Anolis sagrei: one gene and its partner. The protein of the gene in region 1 purifies or fractionates together with the protein of each later gene. This does not show direct contact. Links are inferred from orthologs where the notes say so. Each region holds a gene or a part of one and is shown on either strand. Other genes may lie near its edges. The genes, in order: L3MBTL3 and SAMD13.

What was found.
Region 2: the proteins of L3MBTL3 (region 1) and SAMD13 purify together in Homo sapiens (affinity purification with mass spectrometry; 3 studies listed by BioGRID and IntAct, counting the BioPlex papers as one, with this or other methods). This does not show direct contact. The link is inferred for Anolis sagrei from reciprocal best matches to the Homo sapiens genes L3MBTL3 and SAMD13.

The regions. Positions count from the first base shown.
Region 1 is NC_090021.1:83,146,578-83,150,487, forward strand, and holds the start of L3MBTL3 (lethal(3)malignant brain tumor-like protein 3), read right to left. Parts: upstream 2,825-3,910; 5' UTR 2,648-2,824; intron 1-2,647. UniProt on the Homo sapiens protein: Is a negative regulator of Notch target genes expression, required for RBPJ-mediated transcriptional repression. It recruits KDM1A to Notch-responsive elements and promotes KDM1A-mediated H3K4me demethylation.
Region 2 is NC_090024.1:155,386,571-155,390,480, forward strand, and holds the start of SAMD13 (sterile alpha motif domain-containing protein 13), read right to left. Parts: upstream 2,626-3,910; 5' UTR 2,543-2,625; intron 2,462-2,542; exon of another isoform or gene 2,364-2,461; intron 1-2,363.

The DNA of each region.
Region 1 (3,910 bases):
GAGAGAGGAGCCTCTTCTTGTTGTTGTTTATTCGCGGCATCCCGTTTTTTCAGCCCAGGAAGCGAGCTCACAACAAACCCTGACAAACTCCCACTATCACAAGAAGGTGGGTTCCTTTAGGAAGGGGAAACCGTGCTAATGGGCGGCCCCTTGGACGCATTTTAACGCGCCTCTCCAGAATTACACTAGAGAGACAAAGAAGGCGTCTCTCTCTCTCTGTTTTCCAAGCCTGGTGAAAGAATTATAGAATCAGAGTTGGAAGAGACCTCGTGAGCCATCCACTCCAACCCCATCCTGCCAAGAAGCAGGAAAATTGCAATCAAAGCACCCCCGGCAGATGGCCATCCAGCCTCTGTTTAAAAGCTTCCAAAGAAGAAGCCTCCACCGCACTTCTGGGGAAAAGTCCCCTTTGGGAGAGGGCTGTGTTGTCCCAACTTTGTGAAGGGACCCCTTTCCAGCTTCTTCCTTTCTTCCTGGACACATTGACCCTCTCAAAGATATGGATCTGGGGTCTTCCAGAATCCTATTGGGTCGCTTTGGGAAAGGGCTCCCTTTGGAGAGAGTCCTCGCTCTTCCCAAACTTGAGTGAAGGAAACCCTTCGAGAGTCTCTCCCCCCCCCCCCGAACATATTTGAGCCTGTGCCTCTCCAGCCTCCTCTCTAGGGGAGGAAATACAATAAGAAAGGACAGTGGCATCAAACTACAAAGAAAGAGATTCCATCTGAACATGAGAAAGAACTTCCTGACTGTGAAAGCCGTCCAGCAGTGGAACTCTCTGCCCCGGAATGTGGAAGCTTTTAAGCAGAGGCTGGATGGCCATCTGTCGGGTATGCTTTGAATGCTGTTTTCCTGCTTCTTGGCAGCGGGTTGGACTGGATGGCCCATGAGGTTCTCTTCCAACTTTACGATTCTAAGCAGGGAAGCGGAAAGATTCTGGAAGGTGGTCCCCCTTTTTGGAGACGGCTCCCTTTCCCAACTTTTTTCTCCCCCAACTGTCGCGCGTGGCTTTTCCCCGTCCTCCCTCCGCCTGAGTGTGGGGGGGTGGGGAGGCTTGAAGGGCTGCCTTCCACCCAAACCCACGCTCCTGAGATAGAGATACAGATATATGCACGCAGCAGGAAGGCCTGGCTTGGTTTCCAGGCGCGCTCCGTCCGCACCCGCGGCGAGCGCCTTCTTCCCCCCTTCTCCTTCTCCCTCCCCTCCAAAAGGAGAACAAGTGTCGCCCAAAACGCACTGTAAACCATTGTTGGAGTGGCCTGCCTCGTGGGGGAGGGGCACTTCTGTGGGCTTCACACGAGAGAGGGAAAGAGAGGCGGAAAAAGAAGAAAAAGAGAGAGAAAGAAACCCCTTTGCGCGCGCACGCACATCTCCAGGAAAGAAGAGAAAAAGGAAAGGAGGAGGAGGAAGGAGTTGCTGCTGCCAGGCTTTGCAAGCTTTGCGAGCCGCGCTTTCTCCTCCGCTCCGCGCCCACCGAGGGGGTCTGCCTCTACTTTAGAATGGAGAGCCAGAGGGAGCCCAGGGAGGGAATCCATGCCGGGGAATCCGGGGGGAGAGAGAGAGAGAGAGAGTGCCGAGGAGCGCCTCCCGTCTCGGCGCGCGCGCGCTCGCGCGTGTGTGCAAAGTTTGCCCAAAATGGCGGAATTGGGGGGAGCTCCGTATGATCCTGGTGTGTGTGTGTGTGTGCGTGTCCGTATATAATAATAATAAATGGGCAAGGCATTGGAGGGAGGCACACACAAGGCACCGAGGGAGAAAGGCAACGTAGGGAAAAGGAAAGGAAAGAAGGAAAAGAAAGAAAGAAGGCGCTTGTTTGGAAATGCAAGAGAGCAATAATCCCCGGCAAGCGCAGCAGCGGCGGCGGCGGCGCACAGGCCTTTTTTCCCCCTCTTTCTCCTCCTCCTCCTCCTTTCCCAAAACGCAAACGCATGCAACCGGTACAAGGGAAGGGGAGAAAGTCCACCTCCCTTCGGCCTTCCCTTGGCTTCCTTGCCCGCACCCCCCTTTTTCTTCCTTTCCACCCAAACCCAACGCCCCCCAGCCTTGCCTGCCGCAGCAGAGACCCCAAACGACACAAGGCTCTGGCTTAGCTGCGCCTTCCTGTCTCCCCCCTCCCCCCCCCAAAAAACGCCTCCTTAGAAGTGTCAAAGGAAATCAAAGGAAAAGAGGCGTTTTTCTAGTCTTTTCTCCCTCCCCCTCCCCCATTGAGGGGTTTTGGGGGGTCTGGGAAAGGGAAAGAGAAGAGGCTGAGGAATGAATGCGCCCCCCAGCCTTGCCTCCCTCCCCCAGCCCCCCCAAACCCCTCCTTTGGGGGTCTGAGCGCCGCTCAAAGCCCTCTTTTCCGCCTCTCTTTTGTTCCTCCTCTTTTGCCGCTTCCTCCCCCGCCACGACCCACCCGCGGGGCCACTTTCTCCCTCCACTTGGGCAGAGGTTGTGGAGGAATGCAGGCCCCTCTTTCCTCGTCCTTCCCAGCCTCCCTTTCCCCCTCCTTTTCTTCCCACCCAAAGGCGGTGCGCGCTCGCTCGCTCTCCCTTGCTCGCTTTCTCCCTTTCTTTTTCCCCCTCCAACTTTCATCCCTTTCCAACCCACCCTCCCCACCTCCCTCAAAAGGTCGCCCCCCTACCCTTCCCCCAGGCGGTTCCTTACCCACCCCAAAATCTCTCTTTCTCTTTCTTTCTGTCTTTCTCTCCGTCTTTCTTTTTTCCTCTATTTTCCTCCGTCTCTCGAGTAAGTCCTGACAAATATGGTCCAGGGCTGCGGGCGCCACTGAGCATGCGCCCGCGGAGTCAGGGCTGGGAAAAGGGGAAACTGCTGCTTTCTGCTGCTGCTGCTGGAGACGGAGGCTGGGCGCTGCTTGCTTTGGCCTCTCCGCGGCAAGAGGCGCCCAGGGTCTCCCGCCTGCCTTCCTTCCTGCCTGCCTTCCTCTTGCCTTCTTTTCTGTGCCTCGGCCTGGCATCCCAAGCCAGAGCGCCCCTTCTCCCATCTTCAGGGAGCACCTCCGCCAACGCGGAGAGAATAATAAAAGGAGGCAAGGGCCAGGCTTGGGGGTCTCTGATATCCTTAGCGACCCCCTCTTCTCCCTCTTTCTTTCTGCATTCTTGTTATTAGTACTAGTCACTTCCAGGGAATGAAAAGGATGGGCACGTCTACACTCTCCGCTTTGGTCAGTTCTGAACCTGCATAGGTGGAAGTGATTTGGGTGTGAACACCAGCCTTTCTACACTGGCCATTCAAGGCAGTTTCAAACCAGCATTGGAGAAAGTGGTTTTGTTGCAAAGTTGATGATGACATAGGAACCCTGAACGGTTCTGGCCTTGCTTACCTATCTGAAGGTATCACCTGCTATGAACCATCCTGAAGTCTAAGATCGAGGGGAGAGGCCCTGCTCTCAGTTCCACCATCCTCGCAAGCACGAATTGTGGAGACAAGAGACAGGGCTTTCCCAGTGGTGGCCCCTTGCCTGTGGGACTCTCTACCCCAGGGATCCTCAAACTAAGGCCCAAGGGTCGAATATGGCCCTCCAAGGTCCTTTACTCAGCCCTCGCTCAGGGTCAACCTAAGTCTGAAACGACTTGAAAGCATGCAACTGCAACAATCCTATCTCATCAGCCAAAAGCAGGCCCACATTTCCCACTGAAATATATTTGTTAAAATTGTTCTCATTTTATTGTTTTTAAGTGTTTTTTTGCACTACAAATAAGATATGTGTAGTGTGCATAGGCATTCATTCATACTTTTTTCAAATTACAATCCGGCCCTCCAACAGTTTGTGGGACTGTGACCTGGCCCTCTGTTTAAAAAGTTTGAGGACCCCTGCTCTACCAAGTGACATTAGACTGGCCCCCTCCCTCTTGTCCTTTCGAATGGCAAGAGGGAGGGGGCTAATTTCATGTAACACAAGCTTTACTGGATA
Region 2 (3,910 bases), on another chromosome or scaffold:
TTAGAACATGACACATCAATCCTCAAAGGGCTACCTAGAAATACAAATATCGGTTCTGGAAACATTTTTCCATAGTTCCAGATTGGTGAGGGTTTTGGATTGTGGCAACAGTGAAGGAAAGTCATTCTGTGCATGTTCAATTTTCTTAATAGCTATCCAAAACTAATGTCTGCTATAGAAAACAAGATTTTGGTGTCAAGCCTGGGATCTGTTTATCTCCAAGGAGAATGAGATTTTATATTTAAGAATGTACAAACACTTAGAATTGATGCATTTAACACTGTTTTAACTGCTATGGTTCAGTGCGCTGGGATCATGGGAGTTGTAGTTGTACAAGGCAGTGACATCTCCGGACCATCCTCTGTTCTGATATCAGCCAGCACGCCAATGCCTTAAATCAAAAAATAGTTTTCTAAGATCTACAGAGATACTCACAGGAACACATCAGCAAGCAAGAGTCCAAAAGCGGCAGGTTAAAACCCGGAACCTCAAGCCACAGCTGATACCTAATGAGAAACCCTCCTGGGCACACAAAAGACTGGGCGACTTAGAAGGCGCTAAACAGACTGTTCTTTGGCACCACGAGATGCAAGGCCAAACTTAAGAAATGGGGCCACAAAGTGGAGTCCACGACATGCAAGTGTGGAGAAGAGCAAACCACAGACTACCTTTTACAATTGCAGCCTGAGCCCTGCCACATGCACAATGGAGAACCTTCTTACAGCAACACCAGAGGCACTCCAAGTGGCCAGCTACTGGTCAACGGACATTTAGCATAATGCCAAGTTTTTAAAAAAATATTGTGTTTTTTTTTAAAAAAAAAATACATTACAATCATACCCCTGGTTTGCTTCTGATACAATAAATAAATAAGGTCTTTAGATTTACTGTCAGAGTAATGGTGCCTTCCCAAACTTTAACTCTCAGGAATCCACAGCATTGAGCCATGGGAGTTAAGTGGTATAAAACCGCATTAATTCTGCAGTGTAGATGCACCCTAAGATACAATGGTTTTCTTTTTTCTTTTTCAAAATAATTTTTGCTGACACAACAATAAAGACACAACAGTCTCATTCAGGCCCCTTCTATACTGCCATATATGCCAGGATGTGATCCCAGGTTATCTGCTTTAAAATGGATTATATGAGTCTCCACTGCCAGATAGTCTGGGATAAGCAGATAATCTGGGATCAAGTCCTGGGATATAGGGGCAGTGTGGAAGGGACTTCAGTTTGTTGTTCAATCTTGTTGTCAAAGCTCACTTACTAACAAAATGGGCTCTGCATGTTGTTTATATTTTGAAAATTAAAGAAAATCCATTTTTTCATGCCCGAATAACATTCTTTCCATCCTAATGCTTTTCAATTACCACTCCCAGCAATTCCAAAAAAAGTGCCTGGGTGTCCTTAAAAACAGGAAAACAACTTCACCACATGTTGTTGACCTATAACTTGAACACCCACAGACATGGGGCCAATTTCTGTGTTTCATGCTCTCCATCTGAACATATTGAACTTATATCTTTTGGGGGAACACACAATGCAAACAGGACAGGACAAGAAGGTCCAAAGATATCCTATTTGTGGGCTGTTTGCTACACTTTACGCCAAAGAAGCTTGCTTTCCGTCCATCCTTGAAAATGTTGTGAAAGATGGGAGTGTGAGAAAGAAAACACAATGTTATATTTGATTTTATTTCAACAAGAGACAGAAATGAGCCTATTTAGAAAAGTAGAAACACCGAGTGCATTGTCCTAAATCCCTAAACAGCGTTGAGCGAGGAAGCTGCAAAGCTTTTAACATCATTCCATGTGTCAGAACCGTCTTGTGATATGACAAAACTTCCCACATACCATTAGAGGCAAACTTTTTTTAAAAATGCAGCATTTCAGCCAGGATTTGGAAACGATTTTGAATAAACAAACCCAACACTAGCATTCCTCTCTCTGCAATGACAAGGCGAAAGGGAAACATTGAAAATAGTGAAAATATACATATGACACACAACAGTTTGCTTTGCAGGAATCGGAAATAGCTGGTGTTTCAATAAATGGATGGAGAAATCACTAGTTGTGTACTGTGTGTATGTTTTCCCTCCCAGAGTGTGCAGTAGTCCTCTCCCTGAATATGTTTCTTGATCCCTTTGGGAGCATCCTCAGTGCATCCCTCTTGCTCTCCCAGTTTTTGGATTGGCTCAATTTCCCTAAACACACTCCAACACAAAACATGCCTTTGGAAAGCAGCTGCTTCAAGGAAGCGCTCACCACTAACTAGGTCAGGAACAAAAGATCTGGGGAGCAAAATCATGGAAAGGAAGGGAAGCAGCCCACATTGCCCATGGAGCATGTCGCAGAGCTGACTTACCTTTCTTTTTCCTATACACACGCATATATATACATTGCCAGCAAAAGCCTGCCTTCCTCTGAGCACAGCAGCAGCCACATGCAGAGTTGCAACCAGAACCAACCACAGCCAATCAGCAGCCAGCTGTCAGGGAGGAAAGCATGCTGGGAGACGTAGTCCCCACCTTGCTAAAAACTAACCTGATGGGAATAAAATGTCTTTACAGATCCTCCATGGAGATCCTCCTGTTTGACAGCTGGATTTGCAGCTTGGAGCTGCCATTCCCAGCACACACACACAAGCACATGCTTTTGCATGCAAAACTCCTCTCAAACCAGTGGGAGCAGTTTCTCAGCAGATGCTGAAAAGTCAGCACATTCCTCTGCATCCCTGGTGAATGATTCGCCATCGATTTGGAAAAATGTACATACATTTCTTTTTTTTCTGAAATTAATTTTTATTGAAAGATTATATGGTTACATAGAAAGTGGGGGGATATTGTGAAGAAGATAGAAAAGTAGGAAATAAAATAGAGTAGGAGAAGTTGCCGGGATGTAGAGAGGAGGAAGGAGAGGAAAAAAATTAAAACATTATTTTAGAAAATTATTATTATTTTTTGAAAGATGCTTAACCCTATGGTGTGCAAAACCCCCTTCAATAAAAAAGAAGGGAGAAAAAAAAGAAAAAAAGCAAGGGAAAAGGAAAAACAATAACAAAAAAGGGGTATTTATTTATTTATCGTGTCAGGGGCAACCAGACAATTGTATTATGTTTCTAACAGAACAAAACAAACAGACAAAACACAAATTTTGCAAGATTGGTAGTTGATTCAATGTCCTTTGACCAGTATCTGGCCACTTGGAATGCCTCTGGTGTTGCCGCAAGAAGGTCCTCCATTGTGCATGTGGCAGGGCTCAGGTTGCATTGCAGCAGGTGGTCAGTGGTTTGCTCCTCTCCACACTCGCATGTCGTGGATTCCACCCTGTAGCCCCATTTCCTAAGGTTGGCTCTGCATCTCATGGTGCCAGAGTGCAGTCTGTTCAGCTCCTGTGTGCCCAGGGGGGAGTCTCTCATTTGGTATCAGCCATTGGTTGAAATTCTGGGTTTTAGCCTGCCACTTTTGGACTCTCGCTTGCTGAGGTGTTCCAGTAAGTGTCCCTGTAGATCTTAAAAAACTATTTCTTGATTTAAGTCGTTGACGTGCTGGCTGATACCCAAACAAGGGATGAGCTGGAGATGTCACTGCCTTGGTCCTTTCACTACTGGCTGCTACTTCCCGGCGGATGTCAGGTGGTGCAATACCAGCTAAACAGTGTAATTTCTCCAGTGGTGTAGGGCGCAGACACCCCGTGATAATGCGGCATGTCTCATTAAGAGCCACATCTACTGTTTTAGCGTGGTGAGATGTGACGAAAGCTGACTGGCACAACCTGGGGATCACAACCAGACACAGTGAAGACATCTGCCCTTGCGCTCTGCTACTCTGCTGCTGAGTATGCATGCCCAGTGTGGAACACATCTCACTAAAAAAAGGGGTGACTTTGATCTAGTCTTTGAAGATCTCTTTT